7 linked regions of the Macaca mulatta genome follow. The protein of the gene in region 1 interacts with the protein of each later gene in a biochemical or structural test. Links are inferred from orthologs where the notes say so. Each region holds a gene or a part of one and is shown in the gene's direction. Other genes may lie near its edges. The genes, in order: CDK2, ORC2, RB1, CDC25C, POLA1, RBL2 and H1-1.

Evidence for each region.
Region 2: the proteins of CDK2 (region 1) and ORC2 form a complex in vitro, tested with the Homo sapiens proteins (2 studies listed by BioGRID and IntAct, with this or other methods). The link is inferred for Macaca mulatta from reciprocal best matches to the Homo sapiens genes CDK2 and ORC2.
Region 3: of the proteins of CDK2 (region 1) and RB1, one has a biochemical effect on the other in vitro, tested with the Homo sapiens proteins (35 studies listed by BioGRID and IntAct). The link is inferred for Macaca mulatta from reciprocal best matches to the Homo sapiens genes CDK2 and RB1.
Region 4: of the proteins of CDK2 (region 1) and CDC25C, one has a biochemical effect on the other in vitro, tested with the Homo sapiens proteins (3 studies listed by BioGRID). The link is inferred for Macaca mulatta from reciprocal best matches to the Homo sapiens genes CDK2 and CDC25C.
Region 5: of the proteins of CDK2 (region 1) and POLA1, one has a biochemical effect on the other in vitro, tested with the Homo sapiens proteins (2 studies listed by BioGRID). The link is inferred for Macaca mulatta from reciprocal best matches to the Homo sapiens genes CDK2 and POLA1.
Region 6: the proteins of CDK2 (region 1) and RBL2 form a complex in vitro, tested with the Homo sapiens proteins (3 studies listed by BioGRID, with this or other methods). The link is inferred for Macaca mulatta from reciprocal best matches to the Homo sapiens genes CDK2 and RBL2.
Region 7: of the proteins of CDK2 (region 1) and H1-1, one has a biochemical effect on the other in vitro, tested with the Homo sapiens proteins (48 studies listed by BioGRID). The link is inferred for Macaca mulatta from reciprocal best matches to the Homo sapiens genes CDK2 and H1-1.

Annotation. Positions count from the first base shown.
Region 1 is NC_133416.1:63,115,116-63,117,633, forward strand, and holds the end of CDK2 (cyclin-dependent kinase 2), read left to right. Parts: intron 1-699; coding exon 700-843; intron 844-1,145; coding exon 1,146-1,349; intron 1,350-1,622; coding exon 1,623-1,727; 3' UTR 1,728-2,018; downstream 2,019-2,518. UniProt on the Homo sapiens protein: Serine/threonine-protein kinase involved in the control of the cell cycle; essential for meiosis, but dispensable for mitosis. Phosphorylates CABLES1, CTNNB1, CDK2AP2, ERCC6, NBN, USP37, p53/TP53, NPM1, CDK7, RB1, BRCA2, MYC, NPAT, EZH2.
Region 2 is NC_133417.1:106,027,408-106,030,907, reverse strand, and holds part of ORC2 (origin recognition complex subunit 2), read left to right. Parts: coding exon 1-21; intron 22-1,182; coding exon 1,183-1,279; intron 1,280-3,500. UniProt on the Homo sapiens protein: Component of the origin recognition complex (ORC) that binds origins of replication. DNA-binding is ATP-dependent. The specific DNA sequences that define origins of replication have not been identified yet.
Region 3 is NC_133422.1:27,577,172-27,580,671, forward strand, and holds part of RB1 (retinoblastoma-associated protein), read left to right. Parts: intron 1-687; coding exon 688-884; intron 885-3,500. UniProt on the Homo sapiens protein: Tumor suppressor that is a key regulator of the G1/S transition of the cell cycle. The hypophosphorylated form binds transcription regulators of the E2F family, preventing transcription of E2F-responsive genes.
Region 4 is NC_133411.1:147,191,334-147,194,833, reverse strand, and holds part of CDC25C (M-phase inducer phosphatase 3), read left to right. Parts: intron 1-408; coding exon 409-454; intron 455-3,221; coding exon 3,222-3,255; intron 3,256-3,365; coding exon 3,366-3,455; intron 3,456-3,500. UniProt on the Homo sapiens protein: Functions as a dosage-dependent inducer in mitotic control. Tyrosine protein phosphatase required for progression of the cell cycle. When phosphorylated, highly effective in activating G2 cells into prophase.
Region 5 is NC_133426.1:24,814,122-24,818,027, forward strand, and holds the end of POLA1 (DNA polymerase alpha catalytic subunit), read left to right. Parts: intron 1-2,207; coding exon 2,208-2,353; 3' UTR 2,354-3,406; downstream 3,407-3,906. UniProt on the Homo sapiens protein: Catalytic subunit of the DNA polymerase alpha complex (also known as the alpha DNA polymerase-primase complex) which plays an essential role in the initiation of DNA synthesis.
Region 6 is NC_133425.1:48,916,168-48,920,230, forward strand, and holds the start of RBL2 (retinoblastoma-like protein 2), read left to right. Parts: upstream 1-1,263; 5' UTR 1,264-1,370; coding exon 1,371-1,610; intron 1,611-1,901; exon of another isoform or gene 1,902-2,130; intron 2,131-2,243; exon of another isoform or gene 2,244-2,334; intron 2,335-2,444; exon of another isoform or gene 2,445-2,539; coding exon of another isoform or gene 2,540-2,557; intron 2,558-4,063. UniProt on the Homo sapiens protein: Key regulator of entry into cell division. Directly involved in heterochromatin formation by maintaining overall chromatin structure and, in particular, that of constitutive heterochromatin by stabilizing histone methylation.
Region 7 is NC_133409.1:157,091,563-157,094,081, forward strand, and holds H1-1 (histone H1.1), read left to right. Parts: upstream 1-1,371; coding exon 1,372-2,019; downstream 2,020-2,519. UniProt on the Homo sapiens protein: Histone H1 protein binds to linker DNA between nucleosomes forming the macromolecular structure known as the chromatin fiber. Histones H1 are necessary for the condensation of nucleosome chains into higher-order structured fibers.

The DNA of each region.
Region 1 (2,518 bases):
GTGCCTCTTTTATTTCAGGCCTTCATTTCAAGGCTTGTAGACCTTATTGTGTGGTGCCAGCAATGTAGTGAAGACAATTGTGGTCACTTTATCCACACCCTTCATTTAAATTGCAGATTTAGGCAGAGTGCAGTGGCTCACACCTATAGTCCCAGCACTGTGGGAAGCTGAGGTATAGGTGGATCACCTGAGGTCAGGAGTTCGAGACCAGCCTGGCCAAAATGGTGAAACCCCATCTGTACTAAAAATACAAAAATTAGCCAGGTGTGGTGGCACACACCTGTAATCCCAGCTACTTGGGAGGCCAAGGCAGGAGAATCGCTTGAACCCAGGAGATGGAGGTTGCAGTGAGCCAAGATCGCACCACTGCACTCCAGCCTGGGCGACAGAACGAGATTCCATCTCAAAAAAAAAAAAAAAAGATTTAGATCATGTCCCCCTTCAACCTCTGGCTTTTCAGATTGAAGGATCCTTGAGGCCTGGCTTTATGTAGAAGCTCCTATCTCCTTTAATACAACAGTGCAGTGCAGTAGGCTGAGGCTTCAAATCAGCAATATGTTTTATTGTCTTTTATCTGGGTTGTAACCAACAGCTTAAAGACCATTAGCCTGTACATATGTAATGTGCATTTATCCCCCAGTGCATTACCTTACAATTGTCCGTATTCCTCTCTCAATTCATCCAAAAATATTTGTTAAGCACCTAGTGGGTAGCCAGCACCATGCTAGGTACTGTGGGGAACACAGAAGAAATGGAAGACAGAGCCTCTGCCCGCTGTGCTCCTATCTAGAAGTGGCTGCATCACAAGGTTGGGGGATGACTGCAGTGTCTACCCCATACCCCGTGAGTGGCTTGGGATCCCTTTGCTACATGTCAGTGGCATCGCAGACATTCAGCCCCTCCCAGACCCACCCAGCCTTGGGGATCTGCAAAGCCATGGTTGGGGGAAGGAAGGAGGGGGCGAGGAGACAGATGAAGGGACTTCATTGTCTCAGGTTCTGTGTGACTGACCCCATGAAAGGCCCTGGGGAGGGAGTCATGGGGCCCTGCTGACCTTCTACTGTCTGTGGGAACTCCTTTGTATAGAGGAGAGTTTTGACTGACTTCAACATAGGTCTTGGTATTTTCTCTTTCCCCATTTTCAGGTGACTCGCCGGGCCCTATTCCCTGGAGATTCTGAGATTGACCAGCTCTTCCGGATCTTTCGGACTCTGGGGACCCCAGATGAGGTGGTGTGGCCAGGAGTTACTTCTATGCCTGATTACAAGCCAAGTTTCCCCAAGTGGGCCCGGCAAGATTTTAGTAAAGTTGTACCTCCCCTGGATGAAGATGGACGGAGCTTGTTATCGGTGAGAGTGGGCACCTGTTTTCCCTCATTCATTTCTCCCAGGGAAGGGCTTTTCCAGGATGAAGGAAGGATGAGACCCTGAAATCTGGGCCTCAGTATTTTGTTTCCCTGGTTCCTGCTCTCCCTGTTGGCACACTGGTTCAGCTATGGGAGGATGGAAGTAAGAATTCCGCCTTGGGTAGAAGGAGTTCTGGTTTCCTGATTTCTGGGAACATTTGCTGCCCATTTAGTCCACTATCACATGATTGAAGTCAACATACATCTCTCCCTCTAGCAAATGCTGCACTACGATCCTAACAAGCGGATTTCGGCCAAGGCAGCCCTGGCTCACCCTTTCTTCCAGGATGTGACCAAGCCAGTACCCCATCTTCGACTCTGATAGCCTTCTCGAAGCCCCCAGCCCTAATCTCACCCTCTGCTCCAGTGTGGGCTTGACCTGGCTTGGCCTTGGGCTATTTGGACTCAGGTGGGCCCTCTGATCTTGCCTTAAACACTCACCTTCTAGTCTTGGCCAGCCAACTCTGGGAATACAGGGGTGAAAGGGAGGAACCAGTGAAAATGAAAGGAAGTTTCAGTATTAGATGCACTTAAGTTAGCCTCCACCACCCTTTCTCCCTTCTCTTAGTTACTGCTGAAGAGGGTTGCTATTAAAAAAAAAAAAAAAAAAAAAGCCTTCCTACATGTTAGATTTGCCGTACCAATCTCTGAATGCCCCATAATTATTATTTCCAGTGTTTGAGATGACCAGGATCCCAAGCCTCCTGCTGCCGCAATGTTTGTAAAGGCCAAATGATAGCAGGGGGCTAAGTTGGAACTTTTGAAAACCAAGTCAAACAAAACCACTGGGAGGAGTCTATTTTAAAGAATTCGGTTGAAAAAATAGATCCAATCAGTTTATACCCTAGTTAGTGTTCTGCCTCACCTAATAGGCTGGGAGACTCAAGACTCAGCCTGGGTGGGGCTGCAGAAAAATGATTGGCCCCAGTCCCCTTGTTTGTCCCTTCTACAGGCATGAGGAATTTGGGAGGCCCTGGGACAGGGATTGTGCTTCATTCCAATCTATTGCTTCACCATGGCCTTATGAGGCAGGTGAGAGATGTTTGAATTTTTCTCTTCCTTTTAGTATTCTTAGTTCTTCAGTTGCCAGGGATCCCTGATCCCGTTTTCCTC
Region 2 (3,500 bases), on another chromosome or scaffold:
CCCGGAATCAGTGTGAAATCAGTAAGTTTCAAAATGTTAAAGGGAAAAACATTATATCCTCTGCCAATTCATGCCTCCACATAAATGAGGATGGAGTATTAAAGAATTTTTGTTTTAGTCTTCACGGTAGTAGGATTGTATAGTGCTTAATACCATGTGTTTGGACTCAGAAGAATCTAGCTTTGAAACCATCTTTGAATGTCCTACGTTGTAACTGACATGTATTAAAACTTAGGAAAATATGTTAGTTTTGTTTACTACACTGAGTATCAGTGGTACTTCTAAAGAAGGGAATTATGGGGTCTTCAGTTTTGTTATAAACTATGAAAATGCTTTATTAGGCAAAAACTCGGGGCCGGGCGCGGTGGCTCAAGCCTGTAATCCCAGCACTTTGGGAGGCCGAGACGGGTGGATCACGAGGTCAGGAGATCAAGACCATCCTGGCTAACACGGTGAAACCCCATCTCTACTAAAAAATACAAAAAAAAAAAACTAGCCGGGCGAGGTGGCGGGCGCCTGTAGTCCCAGCTACTCGGGAGGCTGAGGCAGGAGAATGGCGTAAACCCGGGAGGCGGAGCTTGCAGTGAGCTGAGATCCGGCCACTGCACTCCAGCCTGGGCGACAGAGCCAGACTCCCTCTCAAAAAAAAAAAAAAAAAAAAAAAAAACAAACTACATGCTGTGAAAATGCTTTAAAATGCAACAGGATGTGAAGACTATAGTTTTACAATACATTTATCATAGATCATTTTTATTTCAAATGCTTAATCTCTCTTCCTCATTTGAACATGAAATCTTTTGGGTGCTGGATATTGAGTCATGTAGTATTCCTTTTTAAAAGTGTCTATAGTGTTTGTGTCCTGTTTCCTTTGATAGAACTGTAGTTTTCTAATGTTTCTCATGTTCTTGGGAGCTTTTTCATTTGTTTTTGCTGCCCTCTTATATTACCTATTACGTTGATATCTTTGCTATTCTTTTCTATTTTCTTTTAGCCACAACTTAGGCAAAAAACAATGAATTAGATATAATTCATCGAGTACCAGTAGAATTTTTAAAAGTGATTTTTTAAAACTTTTGGGAAATCCAAATTCATTGTTAATTTATAAAAAAAGGTTTGATTTTCTAGTTGTATATGACAATAAATTGTAATTAATGTGGCACCTCTTGCACATTCATGATATAGGTCCTGAATTCTATAACAGAAGAAGTCCTCGATCATATGGGTACTTTCCGCAGTATACTGGATCAGCTAGACTGGATAGTAAAGAGATTTAAAGAAGGTAACATGAAGTAGATGCTCTGTAGTTTTAGGGTAAAGTTAAGCATATACTTCTACTTATTCATGTATTTATATACATACAGTACAGTTATACATACATATTATATGTATTATATACATACATATACATACAGTATTATTATTATTTTATATATATATATTTTTTGAGACAGTCTCTCTGTTGCCCAGGCTGGAGTGTAGTGGCACCATCATGGCCCACTGCAGCCTTGACCTTCTGGGCTCAAGCAGTTCTCCCACCTCAGCCTCCCAGGTAGCTGAGATCACAGGCGTGTGCCACTGTGCCCAGCTAATTTTGTATTATTTGTGGAGATGAGGTCTCGCTATGTTGCCCTGGATAGTCTGGAACTTCTGGGCTCAAGCAGTCCTCCTGCCTTGGCCTCCCAAAGGGCTGAGATTATAGGTGTGAGCCACCACACCTGGCCCAAAAAGATTATTTTAATAATGGCACTTATCTTGGTGCTCTAAAATAATTTGACCTTTTTCTATGAACCTTTTCTGTGAACTTAACAGGGAAGAAAAATGTTAGTCCCACTTTCTTAAGTTTGTATATCCAAAAGCCTTTTTCTGTTTATAAAACACTCCAGAAGTGCAGTGGCACAATTTTGGCTCACTGCAACCTCTGCCTCCCGGGTTTAAGCAATTCTCCTGCCTCAGCCTCCCAAGTAGCTGGGATTACAGGCATGCACCACCAAGCCCAGCTAATTTATTTCAGAATAATTTTCAGGTTTTGTTTTGCTTGTGTAAAGTGCCTCCACTTGAGCGTTACATCTTTGTCTGATATTTTTATATTGTTTAATGTTTTTATAAAACATTATTTCTTGGCTGGACACAGTGGCTGACGCCTGTAATCCCAGCACTTTGGGAGGCCAAGCTGGGTGGGTCACCTGAGGTCAGGAGTTCGAGACCAGCCTGGCCAATATGGTGAAACCCCGTCTCTACAAAAATACAAAAAAAATTAGCCAGGCATGGTAGCACGTGCCTGTAGTCCCAGCTACTTGGGAGGCTGAGGCAGGAGAAGTGCTTGAGCCTGGGAGGCAGAGGTTGCAGTGAGCCAAGATCATACCACTGCACTCCAGCCTGGGCAATAGAGTGAGACTCTATCTAAAAATAAATAAATAAATAAAACATTATTTCTTTATTCTGTGTATATATCATTACATTGGGATAATTTTATATACTAAGATCTCTGATTCTTTTGGTGTGAATGTTTTGGTTATGTGAGTATGTCAGAAAATTGGAAATAGCATTATATAGTCTCTGATAGTTAATTGCCATTTAATAATGACTAAATTAAGAGAAGTACATGAGAATGCCTAACTGCTTTGATGGATAATTTTATTGATAATGTCAATAATCCTAGCTCTGTTTCCATAGTACTTTTATCTTGTCAATATTCTGGCATGTTCTTTAGTTTTGTCTTCATTTTGTTTCCAACCTGAAAAGCTTTCTGTCCCAAATTTCCTTTCACACTTCTACACCCATTTTACCCACAGTTCTTTATAGAAATGGACAGTATACTTTTTTGTTTTTGGGTTTTTTTTAACACAGTCTTTCTCTCTCACCTAGGCTGGGATCCAGTGGCACAAACACATTTCACTACATCCTAAACCTCCTGGGCCCAAGTGATCCTCCCAACTCAGCCTCCCCATTAGCTGGGACTACAGGCACACACCATCTGCCTGGCTATTGTTAAAATTTTTTGTAGAGATGGGAGTCTCACTGTGTTGCCCAGGCTGGTCTCAAACTCCTAGGCCTCAAGGGATCCGCCTGTCTGGGCCTTCCAAAGTGCTGGGATTAACAGACATGAGCCCAGCCAGACAATATACATTTTTATACCAACTGTACACATTTGAAAACAGGTAGAGTTGATTCTCATTATTCACAAATTCTATAATAACAAATTTTCCTGCTTGCTAACATTTATTATAATCCCAAAATCAATACTCTTGGCACTTTTGCAAAGTGAAACATGCACAGAGTGGCAAAAAGTTTGCATTGCCCAATGTACACATTCTAAGCAGAGGTCAAACAATGCAATGCTTTGCCGTCTTGTTTCAACTCTCATACTATAAACAAGCATCCTTTTCGCAGTCCGTTCAGTGCTATGTTTTTCACATTTTTCTGCTTTTGTGTCGGTGATTTGGCTGTTTAAAATGGCCCCCAAGCATAGTGTTAGAATGCTATCTAGTGTTCCCAAGCAC
Region 3 (3,500 bases), on another chromosome or scaffold:
CTCTACTGATATGGAAGCACTGCTATAACCTCCATGGTTATGAAACTAAAGACTGAAGCTGGAACCCACTGGATAAACAGAACGAAGGCCAGTTACAGTGTTTTTAAAAATATAAATGTATATCACTTTGCAAATTATGTTGCAAATGTTAAAAGAAAGTTTTGCTTGCAGAAACAAAAGGAACATTTGTAAAGGATGCAAAACACAGTGAAAGAGGAACTTCTAGTTTCCTTATTAGTAAACAAATAAGGAAAACTGTGAATCCTCATTTATAACCAAGAAATGCATATTTTAAAGAGATACCATTTTCTGACTAATGAAATTAGCAGGATCTTGAAGAATCTGTCTCTCCTCTTACCAAGGATTAATGAGAATTAAAATAGATATGCTAATAAATGGCTGGTAAGATACTAAACCTGTTTCTGATATAAGTTTAGGGTATTTAAACCTTTGAAAATTTGAGATAAGCTATAAGCCCTTTCTCTAGGAAAAATATAGATGTGCATACACTCAAAATTGGAAGGCTATTTCCTATGAGTCCGTAGACTCCAAAATAAAAAATTCTGCTCTAAATAAAAATCGTTTAACCTTTCTACTGTTTTCTTTGTTTGATAAGACTTTCCAAAAAAAATACCTAGCTCAAGGGTTAATATTTCATACCTAAGTTACTTTTTTTTTCATTTTTAGGAAGTACATCTCAGAATCTTGATTCTGGAACAGATTTGTCTTTCCCATGGATTCTGAATGTGCTTAATTTGAAAGCCTTTGATTTTTACAAAGTGATTGAAAGTTTTATCAAAGCAGAAGGCAACTTGACAAGAGAAATGATAAAACACTTAGAACGATGTGAACATCGAATCATGGAATCCCTTGCATGGCTCTCAGTAAGTAACTAGCTAAATAATTGAAGAAATTCATTCATGTGCATATGGCTAACAAATTATCTGTTAGTGAGAGGTGTTTCTTAACATCTACCTCAAGAACAAATAGGCAATAATGAATAATGTAATTTCAGTCTGTAGCCCAAGAATCAAGTAGAATATTAGAATGGAGCTTTATTCGAGTGCCCTAAACCATCTAATACAGCATAGTGATTTATTTAAGAATAGCTTTTCTTAAAACATGGCACTTTAAAACAAAACAGAATTCTTTTTTTTTATTATTATTATATTTTAAGTTCTAGGGTAAGTTCTAAGTTCTAGGGTGCAGGTTTGTTACATATGTATACATGTGCCATGTTGGTGTGCTGCACCCATTAGCTCGTCATTTACATTAGGTATATCTCTTAATGCTATCCCTCCCCCCTCCCCCCACCCCACCACAGGCCCCAGTGTATGATGTTCCCCTTCCTGTGTCCAAGTGTTCTTATTGTTCAATTCCCACCTATGAGTGAGAACATGCAGTGTTTGGTTTTCTGTCCTTGCGATAGTTTGCTCAGAATAATGGTTTCCAGCTTCATCCATGTCCCTACAAAGGGCATGAACTCATCCTTTTTTATGGCCGCATAGAATTCCATGGTGTATATGTGCCACATTTTCTTAATCCAGTCTATCATTGATGGACATTTGGGTTGATTCCAAGTCTTTGCTATTGTGAATAGTGTGGCAATAAACATACATGTGCATGTATGTTTATAGCAGCACGATTTATAATCCTTTGGGTATATACCCAATGATGAGATGACTGGGCCAAATGGTATTTCTAGTTATAGATGTTTGAGGAATCGCCACACTGTCTTCCACAATGGTTGAACTAGTTTACAGTCCCACCAACAGTGTAAAAGTGTTCCTATTTCTCCACATCCTCTCCAGCACCTGTTGTTTCCTGACTTTTTAATGATCACCATTCTAACTGGTGTGAGATGGTATCTCACTGGTTTTGATTTGCATTTCTCTCATGGCTAGTGATGGTGAGCATTTTTTTCATGTGTCTGTTGGCTGCATAAATGTCTTCTTTTGAGAAGTGTCTGTTCATATCCTTCACCCACTTTTGGATGGGATTGTTTGATTTTTTTCTTGTAGATTTGTTTAAGTTCTTTGTAGATTCTAGTTATTAGCCCTTTGTCAGATGGGTAGATTGTAAAAATTTTCTCCCATTCTGTAGGTTGCCTGTTCACTCTGATGGTGGTTTCTTTTGCTGCGCAGAAGCTCTTTAGTTTAATTAAATCCCATTTGTCAATTTTGGCTTTTGTTGCCATTGCTTTTGGTGTTTTAGTTATGAAGTCCTTGCCCATGCCTATGTCCTGAATGGTATTGCCTAGGTTTTCTTCTAGGGTTTTTATGGTTTTAGGTCTAACATTTAAGTCTTTAATCCATCTTGAATTAATTTTCGTGTAAGGTGTAAGGAAGGGATCCAGTTTCAGCTTTCTACATATGGCTAGCCAGTTTTCCCAGCACCATTTATTAAATAGGGAATCCTTTCCCCATTTCTTGTTTCTGTCAGGTTTGTCAAAGATCAGATGGTTGTAGATGTGTGGTATTCTTTCTGAGGGCTCTGTTCTAAAACAGAACATAATTCTTTAAAGTATTTAGATAATTTATTTAAAATATAGTCGTCATTATGTTTGAAAATGTAAATGTCTGCTCTTAAATTGTGAGATTATGTTATTTAGATTATTAAAAAGTGCATTTTTTTCTTGTTGAATATAGTAGGATTCATTTTTCCCATTATTAGAGTATAAAAATCTATACTATTGTTCAATTATAGGTATTGGTGTATTGGTTCAATCATTATAGGGGCACAAATTATATTGTCTAGGATTCTCTTTATAGCATTATAACTATTGATAAGGCTTTTGTTTTAATAAAATTGGCAACTTGAGTTTATGCTCTTCAAATCTGCATAGTTGGATAATACTTTGTGAATCATCAGATTTGTAGATTAATGGTTTCTTTTGAAACTGTGTTGCATGCTAAGTATATATCTTTTAATTTGTATCAGTATATAGAAATGGTAATTAAAAATTAAGACTTTAGGTATGCTATAATCCTAATTTGCACATGTAACCTTAGTTTTAATTTCTTTATGTTTTGAATTTTTAATGACTAAGCAATAGTTTATTTCTTAGTGTTTTCTTGTGTTGCCATATAGACAGTGAATAGAGGAGAGAAGCATGGGAAATTGATAGAAGAATGTTATACTCCTATTATTGAATTTGGTAACTACTTATGGAATGAACTTACACTTGATAAGGAGTACTTAGGAGAAAACTTTCTGAATCTGGGGAATTAAGTGAAAGTAAAAATAAATAAATAGATAAGTAAATAAAATAAGCACATAGAGTACTTTTTAAAGGCTATGTGTCCTCTCCTCCCAGAAATTGATATTGAGATATTACCGTATCATCTGAAAGTGACTATTGTTATTTCTTTTAGAGAGTTAATTTTATTTCTATCAACACATATTTATTGAACATATGCCATATGCCTTGAATTGAGAGAGATATTGTGAGGCTACAAAAAAAATAAAGGCTTGGAAAATTGTGTAGGAAGTAATAAAAA
Region 4 (3,500 bases), on another chromosome or scaffold:
CGAGACTGCGTCTCAAAGAAAAAGAAATACATTGTCATTTAATTCTTATATGTTTTATATAAAATATTCCAAAAGGAATGTTTCATAAGTTAACCTTCCAGAATTCTAATTTCAGATTTTCTGAGTGATAATCTTTCTTTTCTACTCATAAAAAAAAAAAAAAAAAACTCCGTAGGTAGCAAAGTACAGTGTTTCCCAGCACTACTTCTTTTAGTGACACATAAAACCTTAAGTTTCTGTGAAATTGTACCTTGTACTATGAAATGGGTATCAATCGAGAGGCTTTGTATTCAAAAGCTCAGTCCTTGAAATTAATATGGCTTACTGGTAATGAAGAAAATCTGAAGGAAAAACAAGATGCATGGACAAAAATAACTCCTTTTACTGATTTTTTATATTTGATTGCAGGTCACCTGGATTCTTCAGGACTTCAGGAAGTGCATTTAGCTGGGATGTAAGTTCTGTTGCTAAATGAACCCCATGCAAAAGCTTTTTAGCACTGGTCATAGAGATTTTATCCTGTGCGGACTCTGCAGAGTGCAAAACCTTTCATATTGGGTATAAGTGGGCTTTGAGGCCTAGTTCCTTACCTTGAACAGTTTCTAAGGTTTCCAGATCTAAATAGTGTTGTGAAAATGAAGGCTATTCATTTTAACTGTCATAATCAGAAGTATCTATAAGGAAATGAAGGAAAATGGTATACTACACTTATATAGGCTTTTATTTGAATGTGAAAAGTGCTGTATCTTAGTAATTCAAAGTACAGAGTGGCCAGGCGCGGTGGCTTACATCTGTAGTAATCCCAGCACTTTGGTAGGCCAAGGCAGGCGGATCAGATGAGGTCAGGAGTTCAAGACCAGCCTGCCCATCATGCAGAAACCCCGTCTCTATTAAAAATACAAAAATTAGCCGGGTGGGGTGGCACATGCCTGTAATCGCAGCTACTTGGGAGGTTGAGGTAGGAGAATTGCTTGAGCCCGGGAGGCGGAGGTTGCAGTGAGCAGAGACCGCACCACTGCCCTCCAGCCTGGGCGACAGAGCGAGACTGCGTGTTGAAAAGAAAAAAGAAAGTACAGAGTGTAGGCTCTGGAATCAGTGTCTGGATTCCTGGCTTACTACTTCATTCACCAGTTGTGACTCTGCTTTAGACCTTAATTTTTTTTATTTGTAACATGGAGACAATAATAGCACTTGTCATAAAGTAGCTATTGTAAGGATTAAATAAACTGTGTATCTAACACATACCAAGCATTTTATTTATGTATTTATTTTTATTTTTGAGATGGAGTCTGGCTCTGTTGCCAAGGATTGAGTGCAGTGGCGCCATCTTGACTCACTGCAACCTCTGCCTCCCTGGGTTCAAGCGATTTAAGCGATTCTCCTGCCTCAGCTTCCTGAGTAGCTGGGATTACAGGCATCCACCACCATGCCTGGCTAATGTTTGTATTTTTAGTAGAGATGAGGCTTCACCATGTTGGCCAGGCTGCTCTTGAACTCCTGACCTCAAGTGATCAGCAACCCCCTCGGCCTCCCAAAGTGCTGGGATTACAGATGGGAGTCACCTGGCCCCGCCTGAATTGCTTTAAATGCTCTAACCCAGATAGATAATGAAATCCACAGAGGGAGGATAGAAATTTATATATAGATATGTTTTTTGTTTGTTTTGTTTGTTTTGTTTTTGGAGATGGAGTCTCACTCTGTTGCCAGAATGGAGTGCAGTGGCCTGATCTCAGCTCACTGCAACCTCCGCCGCCCAGGTTCAAGCGATTCTCTCACTTCAGCCTCCCGAGTAGCTGGGACTACAAGCACACGCCACGATGCCCAGCTAATTTTTGTATTTTTATTTTATTTTTTTATTTATTTTTATTTTTTTTTGAGACAGAGTCTCGCTCTGCCGCCCAGGCTGGAGTGCAGTGGCGTGATCTTGGCTCATGCAAGCTCCGCCTCCCGGGTTCATGCCATTCTCCTGCCTCAGCCTCCCGAGTAGCTGGGACTACAGGCGCCCGCCACCTCGCCCGGCTAGTTTTTTTGTATTTTTTAGTAGAGACGGGGTTTCACCGTGTCAGCCAGGATGGTCTCGATCTCCTGACCTCGTGATCCGCCTGTCTCGGCCTCCCAAAGTGCTGGGATTACAGGCTTGAGCCACCGCGCCCGGCCAATTTTTGTATTTTTAATAGAGACGGGGTTTCACCATGTTGGTCAGGATTGTCTCGATCTCTTGACCTCGTGATCTGCCCGCCTCGGCCTCCCAAAGTGCTGGGATTACAAGCATGAGCCCCCACGCCGGGCTTTTTTTTTTTTTTCTTCCAGACGGAGTTTTGCTCTTGTTGCCCAGGCTTGAGTGCAGTGGCGCGATCTCGGTTCACCACAACCTCCCCCTCCCGGATTCAAGAGATTCTCCTGCCTCAGGCTCCCGAGTAGCTGAGATTACAGGTATGCGCCACCACGCCCAGCTAATTTTGTATTTTCAGTAGAGAGACGGGTTTCTCTGTGTTGGTCAGGCTGGTCGCGAACTCCCAACCTCAGGTGATCCGTCCGCCTCAGCCTCCCAAAGTGCTGGGATTACAGGTGTGAGCCACCCCGCCCGGCCAGAAATTAAATTTTTTTAAAAAATTAGCCCTGGCCGGCACGGTGGCTCACGCCTGTAATCCCAGCACTTTGGGAGGCTGAGGCGGGCGGATCACAAGGTCAGGAGATTGAGACCATCCTGGCTAACATGGTGAAACCCCGTCTCTACTAAAAATACAAAAAATTAGCTGGGCGTGGTGGCGGGCGCCTGTAGTCCCAGCTACTCAGGAGGCTGAGGCAGGAGAATGGCGTGAACCTGGGAGGCGGCGCTTGCAGTGAGCTGAGATCCTGCCACTGCACTCCAGCCTGGGTGACAGAACCAGACTGTCTCAAAAAAAAAAAAAAAAAAAAAAAATTAGCCCCAATACACTGTGCTGGAAAATTAGTAAATTGTATAAAACTCGTTCATCTTTGGTACATGTTTATTTATATGGTTATACAGGCAAAATGAGGGTCTTATCCCCAAGATATCACTTGAGTCTTCATATTTACCACAGAGAATACCCTATGTATTGTTGTTGGAAGAGACATATCAACTGGGAATAGGGCTCCTAGAATGAAATTTTAAAAATGTTGGGATGCACCAAATCCACTGAAGAATAATCAAACAGTATTTGGGGCTAACCTGACAGGCAGTTTGTTTTAATCTGCAGGAATCATCACCAGCACCTAATGAAATGTAGCCCAGTGAGTAGCCTCTCTTTTTTGGGTTTGGGTTTGCTTTTCAGGTGGGAGACAGAGGGTTTCCATTGCACCTGTGACTTGATGCGGGACGTTCTCAGCAAACTCTTTTTTAGGCACAGCTTCTCTGTAGCACTCCGAATGGTTTGGACCGTGGCCATAGAAAGAGAGATGCAATGTGTAGCTTATCTGCAAATAAAGAAAATGTGAGTGTTTAATGGAAACCTAGATATATTGGCAGTTTTATTTTT
Region 5 (3,906 bases), on another chromosome or scaffold:
CTGCAGCACCTGAGGTGATGGTCTTGTTACTGGTAGGCTGACTCTCAAAACCAAAGCAGGGAAAGGAATCAGGGTTTTACTGGCCGCATTAACTGGCCTCCACCATTTAACACCTGTATTTTCCCTTGAGTTATAAAGTGGTGGGTGCAGTATTGACACAAACAGGGTAACAGTTTACTGTGAGGCCTAACGTGGGTGGCCCAGGTGCCTAAAGAGGGAAGAGAAAAACCAGGAAGAAGGGGTGACTCCTCCTCCCCGCCCCCCCCCCACCACCAAGCCCCTGCCCCTGATGCGGCCTGTGACAGCTAGTCCAGTTCTGTTTCCTAGAAGACCTTCCATATGTTATTGATTAAATTCTCATTGGGGAAGCAAGTGGGAGCTTTTATCTGCATCTCTAACTGGTGTGGAATGGTGCCTTGGCCGTATTGACTGGCTATGGGATATGCTGGCGGTCACAGTTGTCTTTTACGAGGAAGAGCACCGAGTGACGCTGGTTGTCATTCTAACTCTGCTGTGTGGCAGCGTAAATAGTCCCCTTTCTAACCAACCTGGTGGGAAAAGTCAATATCCCATCAGCAGAGGAGGTAAACACATCAGGAGCTATGTCCTCTCTTTTCCTCCCCTGCTCTGTATTACCGCAGCTCTTTAAATGTGCTCTCCCCAGTCATCAGATGCATTTGTGTCATTCACATGCACAGGGTTGCTGGCCTGCAGCTCTGGCCTGCCGGGAGGCACTGGTTGGGGCCATTGTTGTGTATTCCCAGACTCGGATCATTAGAACTTTCAAATTGTCTTTCTGTTGCAGCCCCACTCTCTTTTTCCACCCCTTTTGGGCATTTTAATTCTCTATAAAACCTGTGGTTCTTTAAAGGACAATTTATGTAATTCAGAAAAGGTTGTGGAGAGCAAATGTGAATGTATAGCCAAGAAACAAAAATCTGGAGTCTGAGTTTTCGTTTTCCGGGTGTTTTATGGACTTGCGTGTTGCTGTTGTTGGAGGTTTGCTTTCTGTGAGTGGTGCGCTCTCCCCTCCATGTTTCCTGCCTGACCGGTTCCTGTCGGGAGGTGCTGGGCAGCCTTGCTGCTCCCAGGCCCTTTGGCACAGGCCAGCATCTTATGGGGGCGGAGTCCTCACCTCAGGCCTGCACATTTCTATGTGGGAGTAGTGATGCAGTGGCAGGGGGAGTAGGCAGAAGTGAGCCTCAGGTGCAGGCTGGGGGTTCTGGCTACCTGGGTTTGCATGCCTACAACCCTGATTACCTGCTGTGTAACCTTGGGTAAGTGACTTAACCTCCCAGTTTCCTAAGCCATCAAATGGGGATGGGGGGCGCGGTGGGCGGGAAAGCAGCCTCTCCAAACACCTTACCAGGTTCCTGAACAAACATAGTGTCAATCCCCCATGTGATCACCGTCTTCACCCAAAAGATCAGACCTGAGCATCACAGCCCCACTGCTCCTTTAAAAGAACAACGTGTAGAAGTAGCAGGCTCTGGGAAGGAAAAGGAGAGGGATCTTTTCTCTTACTGGTAGCACCCTGCTCTGAAGGGAAAGGCCAGGGATGAATGTGTTGAAGGAGCAAGAGTGCCGAATATCCTGAGTTCACGCAGTGTGGACAAAGAAGAGCAAAGAAATCTTGGCCATGGACAGACAGGTGCCCTCGGGGCCACTCACCTCTTGCCTCTTTCAGCAAAAAAGTTTTGTTTAGCAGAGGGAGGTGAACTGGAGGGACTAGAAGAAGCTGTCTAGGCCCAGCTGATCTGGGGAGTTGGGGCTGGAAGGCACCAGAGGCCATAGCTCCCTTTGAGACTAGGTATTTCCTGCTACTTCCAGACTTCGCAAGCAGTTGCATGCATGTGCTCGCAGCACCCATGAAAGTGGTGTCTGCATGTAGAGCTCACTTTGTCTGCTGCAAATGAGCGTGCACCTGCAGTTCACATCAGTAGAGGGTGGCCCCGTCCCCCGGTGTGCTGAGTCAGCTAGGTGCTGAGAAGCGGACAGGCAGGAGAAAGGAAGAGAAGCTTTCACAGAGGAATGGTGGGCAGGGTCTGCATCTGACCGGCCCCAGGGGTAGACCAGAGATAAGATGGTGGAGATACAAATGGAATCAGCATCCTCTTCTCTGGTGGAATACTGAATGTTTTTTAAAGAAACTACCTGAAACTTCTAATCTCTCTCTCTCTCTCTCTTTCTCTCTCTCTCTTTTTTAGATAAATTGAAGAAGCAATTTTTTACCCCCAGAGTTCTGCAGGACTACAGAAAACTCAAGAACACAGCAGAGCAATTCTTGTCCCGAAGTGGCTACTCCGAAGTGAACCTAAGCAAACTCTTCGCTGGTTGTGCTGTGAAATCCTAAGAGAATCCCAGGAGTAACCAAGGAGGGGGTAGTTGAAAAATCCCAGCTTCCTCTCTGCCTCCGCTCTGGCCCTTACTGCCCTTCCTGCCCTTCCTGCATCTGTTTCTCCCTTGGAACTGTGTCTCATGTTTGTGTGAATGTAGACAAGGAAAGGGGGCTGCAAAAATGTTGACTCTAATGTTCCTAAGCATCATAGAAGTTCCCATCTTCATATTAAGATGTACTGCTTTAAAACACAACTCCAGGGCCCTTCCCCAAGCTCCCCTCCCCAAGGTCCTGAAGACCCAGTTTCTGAGGGAGGGAAATTGCTACTTGGTTTGAGAGTAGCTGGAATGTAAGTGACCCCAGGCTTTGCCTCAGGGCCTTTAGCCTATGTACCCCCCCCCCCCCCAATAGAGAGAGGTTCTCAGAGCCTGACTGAAGAGCTGACATTTTGCTTTTTCACACACCAATTAAACCCGATCTAAATCCAAATGCTTCTCCAGCCATCCAGGAGTGGGTGTCCTTTTCAGTCTTGTCTTTTATATAGGTAGCTGAGGGGGGAGATTTAGAAGCTTTGCACTCACTAAATAGATTAAACAGAGCAGGCTTGTTTATTGAATTGCTCCAAAGTCCAACAGACACACACTGAGCAGGTGTTTTACATTCACATTCCCTTTTTGCCCCTTAAATAGAAAGTGCAGGTAAAGGTTTATACAACAAGAAAGCACATTAAAAATAATTTCATACTCTAACAGTCCATTAACATGTGTAGGGGTTGGGGTGAGGATCACTGTGTTGTATTCAGAAAAATTGGGGGGAGGGATGCTTAATTGGCCCTGGTGCTTGCTATTTTTTTCTCATTTCTTCAGAATGGGACCCTCTTTGGCAGCAGCAAAATATATTTCAGTATGGCAGTCTTTCCTCTCTTACATTATTGGTAAGATTATACTAACAAAATGTTTCCCCTTGTACAACTATGCTGTGTTTTTTAAAAACATTGACCTGTGTGTTTTTATAAAAGAAAACGTATGTTGTGCCTTCTACTTAAGAATAAAGTTTTCTAAAGGGAAAGCAGTTGTGGTGAATCCTTACCAGGTGCAAAGAGTTGATTAGAGAGGCAGCAAGGAGTAACATGTGACTAGAGCCAGTTGCTGTGGCACACACCTGTAGTCCCAGCTACTCCAGAGGTGGAGGCAGGAGGATGGCTTGAGCCCAGGAGTTCAAAGCAGCCTGGGCAACATAGTGAGACCCCCACCTCTAAATACATACATATGTGTGTGTGTGTGTGTGTATATATATATATATATAGATAGATGAAAGACTAGAGGCCATCCCCTTTTCAAACCTCAGCCCAGTTTCTTCATGGCCACCTCTATCAGAACCCAGCTCAGGTGTGCACAGCATGATATTTGGTTGAATGTTCTGAGAAGCATTCAGAATTTCTGTGACTTTAGGTCATTTAACAGATGAAGTATGGTTTCTTATGTGCTTTGCTGACTTAGCCAAGCCAAGAGACCAGCAGCGTCTCTTTTTGAAGAGCAAGGCCTAGGACTCCTGAGAAAAAACCGCCC
Region 6 (4,063 bases), on another chromosome or scaffold:
CCTGTAATCCCAGCACTCTGGGAGGCCGAGGCGGGCGGATCACTTGAGGTCAGGAGTTCGAGACCAGCCTGGTCAACATAGTGAAACCCTGCCTCTACTGAAAATATAAAAATTAGCCGGGCGCGGTAGCACGCACCTGTAATCCCAGATATTCAGGAGGCTGAGGCAGAAGAATCGCTTGAACCCGGGAGGCGGAGGTTGCCGTGAGCCAAGATCGTGCCACTGCACTCCAGCCTGGGCGACAGAGCCAGACTCTGTCTCAAATTAAAAAAAAAAAAAAAAAAAAAAAAAAAAAAAAAAGGACTGTCTGCCCTTCAGAGTCAGCTACCAGAAAATTCGGAGACTGGGGTTTTTAAAGAATGACTTGGCGGGTAGGGGGCCAGGGAGTGGCGAATGCTAATTTGTCAGGTGGGAGGTGAAATCTTAGGGGGTTGAAGTGGGCTCTTGCTGTCTTCTGTTTCTGAGTGGGACTGTAGAACTGGTTGAGCCAGATTATGGTCTGAGTGGCGCCAGCTCATGCATCGGAATGCGGGGTCTGAAAAGTATCTCCAGCACCAATCTTAGGTTTTACAATAGTGATGTTATCCCTGAGAACAACTGGGGAGGTTAGGAATCTTGTAGCCTCTGGCTGCAAGACTCCTAAATCATAATTTCTAATCTTGTGGCTAATTTGTTAGTTCTACAAAGGCAGACTGATCCTCAGGCAAGAAGGGGGTTTGTTTTGGGAAAGCGCTGTAAAAATCTTTGCTTCAAAGTGAAACTACAAATTAAATTCCTCCTGTAGTTAGTTGGGTCTTCGCCTGGGAATGAACAAGTGCAGCTCGGAGGTGAGAAGCATGGAGTCATTTAGGTCAGATCCCTTTCCCAGTGGTAACTTTCTCACTGTTAGGATTTTTGCAAAGGCAGTTTCGTGAAGGTACACAGACAGGCCCTTGCTATTATCCTGGTTTTTTAGATAAGGATATCCAGGCGATGAGGAAGTTTTACTTCTGGGAACAGCCTGGATGCGAAACCTTCACACGTCAGTGTCTTTTGGACATTTTCTCGTCAGTACAACCCTGTTGAATGTTCTCACGATGGGGAGGTATGTGCTTAAAATGCGGGGAAGGTGCTTTTATTTCACCCCTGGTGAAACTAGGCGAGCTAATTTTTTTAAACATGATTTTTGGCCCCCTTGAACCGTCGGCCTGGACTACATTTCCCAGCAGGCCGTGCTCAAGACTACGGGTGCCTGCAGGAGGTCAGCGTCGTTGGCAGCGGCGCAGGCGCAGGCGCGGAGCGGGCGGCGGACGGGCGGGCGCTTCGCGGTTTGAATGGCTGCGGGCCCGGGCCCTCACCTCACCTGAGGTCCGGCTGCCCAGGGGTGCGCTATGCCGTCGGGAGGTGACCAGTCGCCGCCGCCCCCGCCTCCTCCTCCGGCGGCGGCAGCCTCGGATGAGGAGGAGGAGGACGACGGCGAGGCGGAGGACGCCGCGCCGCCTAACGAGTCGCCCACCCCTCAGATCCAGCAGCGGTTCGACGAGCTGTGCAGCCGCCTCAACATGGACGAGGCGGCGCGGGCCGAGGCCTGGGACAGCTACCGCAGCATGAGCGAGAGCTACACTCTGGAGGTGCGCTCGCGGGCGGAGGGGCGCTTCCGGCCTAGTCGGCGTGAACCGGTGCCTTCCGAGCCGCGTCGCGCGCCACGAGAGACCCTCGGGCGGGTTGCGGGATCCCAGCCGGGAGAGGCGTGGGGACCCCCTCTGCGCTATTCCGAGGCACTTAGCCGCTCCGAGGGCGAACCTGCTCTCGCCGCGCTTCCCCGCGGCTTCCGAATGGGGAACGCGTTTTGCCCTAAAGTAACATAGGGAAGCTGAGATCGCGCTGGGGTCCCGATGAGGAAGATGGGTGTGTGTGGCCCATCTGACCCCCCGCCCGCCTTGTTAGTAGAATGAACTAGTGTCGTTATCAAGACCGCACGGAGAAGGGGAGGGGACTTGCCCTTATTTGCACCGCGATTAACCGGGCTGTGGCACCTGGGTCTCCAGGCGTCTCCGTCTGTTCGCTTCCCCCTGTTAACCAAATTGCCTTTGCCCAGACGTTGCTGGCGTTAGAGTCAACGAGCTGATGCGTTTTGGTCTGTGTTTACGTCTGTGTAAACAAATTAAGACTCATTTTCCCCCAGGCCACATGAAATGAGCCCTCCGCCGACCCGTATATAGATACATGCTCCCATTTGTCACTAGGCTCAGGATTGTGGCTACCTCGAGGGCTTTTTGGTCACCCCGGGCATTGCACAGGACTCCTGTTGTCGGGATCCGGGCGTGTTAGGTCGCAGCCTTCGGACTGGGCTTGCGGATGAGAAAAATGGCCATTCTAGCCAGTGACTGTTAGTTCTGTAGGCACCTCCCTTTCATGGGCCAATGGGAAGTGACACGGAAGTACGGATTGTTTATCAGCTCTTCTACTGTGTGTGTGTGGCATTTAAACCTGAGGCCATTTAATTTCTCAAGTAGTTTTATAATTACTTTGGATAAAGAGGGGGGCAAATAGGCCCAGGATGCAAAGCCTAACCAAGGTATTATTTAAATATGATGTTTTTGGCTATGTGTACTGATGAGTGAGGTTATTTTAAATTTGTATTTGCATTAATAGAATTTTGATTCAATTACGATTTCCCTCTTTGAATTGTTATATCTGCAGAAGAAAGATAGTGTATGGTGGCTTTAGAACCCGACAGACCTGGGTGACTGAACAATTTACTTAACCGCTGGAAAGTTGAGTTTTGTGATCTCTAAACTGGAGATATGTGTGTTTACCTCACAGAGCTGTTCTGAAGATTAAATAAGGCAACAATGTAGTTTCTGGCACATAAAGCACCCATATGGACGGTGCTTTCAAGTTTCCTAAGCTCTTTGTATATTTACATGATCTGGCTGAGTAAACTATGTTCCTGTCCGTCTCTCAGTGCCTTTCTGTAGTCTGGCAAAGAGAAGGACTGGTTGACTTTTTTTTTTTTTGCTTTTTTTTTTTCTTTGGTAAAGGGCCTTAAAGGCTTCTAAACAAGCTTTTATTTTACCCTCAGGATGATCCTGTAAATTAGATAGAACAAGCGTTATCACCATTTAGTTGAGGTATGTCAACTCATAGTGGTTAAGTTGTATGAAGTCCAGTGATACATGAGCAAATACCACGTAAGAGCTGGTTAGTAAATTATTTTTGAAAACACATGTTTGATTACTCAATTCTTTTGATTACTGAGACTTTAGTTTCAGCTTCTTAGCCCAGTTTATTCAGTAAATGATTTACTCAGTAAAATATTCATCAAATATTTCTTGAGCACCTGTTCTCAGTGCTACACACTGTTCTCAGTGCTGGATATAGAGCATCAAACAAAGCCTAAAAATACCTGCCTTTGTGGGGCTTATAGTGAGCTACGCTGTGAGATAATGTGGGATGTCATTCTCATGGGAGTGTAAGGGGAAATAAAGCTCTTATGATATTTAATACAGAATACTGGTTATGGAAATTTAATTTGATTCATTGTATTTTCTGTGCATTTTTAACCTATAACTCATTCTTACAGTCCTCAGCCAAAAAAATGCAGCCTCTGAGACTGTTTAGTAATTTTCCCACTGTGTTACAGCTACTGTATGGCAGAGCCAGAATTTGAAACCAGATCTATTTGACCCTATAAGATATGGCCACGAGATGTTAATTTTGAGGATAACTATTTTTTAGTATTATGGAATTTTTCAACAAATATTTTTTAGGACCAAAGATAAACTAGGCAGAGTCTACTCTTTGCATAAATTGTTTAAAAGAGCTTCCCGCTCCGTTTTATCATCTAAGCACGGTAAAATTCTCACAAGACTAATTCTTTTCTTCTTTTTAGGAAAGATGCAGTTGTAGACTTTCTTTTTTTGTTGTTGTTGTTTTCTCTCTGCCATCCAAGTAGTTGTGAATTTTCTAGAGCCAAAATAGAACATTATAGATTATCTTTTAAACCCTTTATTGAAGCACAGGATAATGCTATGACTGACTTAACTTTATACTTTCTAAGAGATCTTGATAGAGTAGAGAA
Region 7 (2,519 bases), on another chromosome or scaffold:
GGCTTCTCAATAAAATAGACGTAGGAAACACTGGTAAAGAAGATGGGTACAATAGTTATCTGGGACTACTACAATTATTTGGTTGACACGTTGTTTGAAGAAAAAGGGAAAAAGCTCAGGTTACTTAGCACAGTTCGGACTTATTTAAAAACTACAACAGCACGAACGGAAATAGACCGCATTCCCTCACTCTCCGCTGTGTTAGGGGGTTATCCAGAATAGGATTGTAGAAGTGGATGTCGATTTAATAGTTTTTTTTGTTCTCCCGTTAGCTGAGTCTCTGATTGGCAATGTGAGATCGTTTTAGCTTATTGATAATTTGAAATGCTCTTAACAGCCACAAACAAGCTAAAGAGAGGTTACCATAAAATCTTATCCCCAGGGTGTGCTTACACTTACCGTTTGTTTTCACACTAAGGAGACTTAACTCCCCAGCAGAATGCCTGTCGGGGAACCAGTTTCTTGGACCCAGCATTTAACGCCTTTCGCAGGTTTGTGAGGCCCATAAATCTTTGTTGAATAAAACAATGAGTTCACCATGTCATGGTGCTCTCATTGCATGTGCTGACATGGAACACAGGTTGTAAACCTTAACACCCATTTGGGGCATGTTGTATGGATGAAAAGGGCATTGGAAATTCCTGAAGTGCATCCCACATTGGACTGTGGAAGTAAGTTACAAGTGCAGAAACGTTTCCACACTTGCAGTTTGAGTATTAATTGCAGCGTTAGTGAATTCTGGTGTTGTCTACGATTCATTCTTCTTTGACGTGAAAGGTATTCGCGAGACACATCGCTCTAAAACATTGCCAGAAAATGTAATCGAGTTGATGACTACTAGCCCTAACACGGCCTAAAACCCGCACTTTCCTCTTCCTCCCCAACTATTCAAACACTGTATTTTACATTTCTTGCAAATTAAAAACTAACATATCTGGCAACGGACCTCTAAAACTTTCTAATAAAACTCCCTGGATGCTTGTGGGGCTGCATTTGCAAACCGCTCCCCATCAACCTACTCCCTAAAACAGAGCTGCTTTTTGAGAGACAAGCGGCACCCTCTGATGTTACTAGGTGGCAGTCGGCCTACAATTTCCTTCACAATGAGGCAATCGGAGCGGCTTTTTCGGTGTGTTTGCTTGCGTTGAGGGGAGCGGGACCATAGGCCCTAGAGGCCCCCAGGTGCTCTCTGAGACTGGGGGAAACCCTCTGCAGAGCGCAGGGGGCGCTAGGGTGCGAGGGGCGGGCACTGACGGGCACCAATCACTGCGCAGTCCCACCCTATAAATAGGCTGAGTCGGGGCCTTTTTTTTCTCGCATCCTGCTTGGTCAGGTTTATACCAGTTTACTTGGTGTGCTGTATTAGTCACCATGTCCGAAACGGCGCCTCCCGCTCCCGCCGCTTCTGCTGCTCCTGAGAAACCTTCAGCTAGCAGGAAGGCAAAGAAACCTGCTAAGGTTGCGGTGGCCACTAAGAAAAAGCCTGCTGGCCCTTCCGTGTCAGAGCTGATCGTGCAGGCTGCTTCCTCCTCTAAGGAGCGTGGTGGTGTGTCGTTGGCTGCTCTTAAAAAGGCGCTGGCGGCCGCAGGCTACGATGTGGAGAAGAACAACAGCCGCATTAAGCTGGGTATTAAGAGCCTGGTAAGCAAGGGAACGTTGGTGCAGACGAAGGGCACCGGCGCCTCGGGTTCCTTCAAACTCAACAAGAAGGCATCCTCCGTGGAAACCAAGCCCGGCGCTTCAAGGGTGGCTGCAAAAACCAAGGCAACGGGTGCGTCTAAAAAGCCCAAAAAGGCCACGGGGGTTAGCAAAAAGAACGTCAAGACTCCAAAAAATGCTAAAAAGTCTGCGGCAACAAGGAAATCCTCTAAGAGTCCCAAAAAACCCAAAGCTGTAAAACCCAAGAAAGTAGCTAAAAGCCCTGCTAAAACTAAGGCTATAAAACCCAAGGCGGCCAAGGCTAAGGTGACGAAGCCAAAGACTGCCAAACCCAAGAAAGCGGCACCCAAGAAAAAGTAAATTCGGTTGGAAACTTTACTAACCCAACGGCTCTTTTAAGAGCCACCTACACACTTCGGGAAAAGAGCTGTAGTACACAGATGAAATTCCCCCAAGCAAATGCAATACGCCCTCATTTATATTAGAATCACTTGGAGAGTCAATAGGAACTTTAACATAGGTTGAGTAGTAAATTCTTGCCAGATGAGGCTATCAAAGATAGCAAGGTGAATTCAAATGCACCGAGTTAAAGTCGAATTTTAGATCACCTGTTTTGCTTTTTTTTTTTTTTTTTTTTAAGTAGCCCGAAGTCCCGCATCTCACGACCCCAAGCTAATTAGTCATAACTGTAACGAACCAAGGTTGAAGCCTAGTCCCAGGCTTGAGGCTTTTTTATTATGCAAGGTTAAAGTGCGGACATTGCGTTCTTGGGTCAATATTGCTAAAGTAGCCTTTTCCGAAATTGGGTGGTCCTAAGAAATGCTTCTGGGATAGTAAGCAAAATTCATGGCTTAATCACG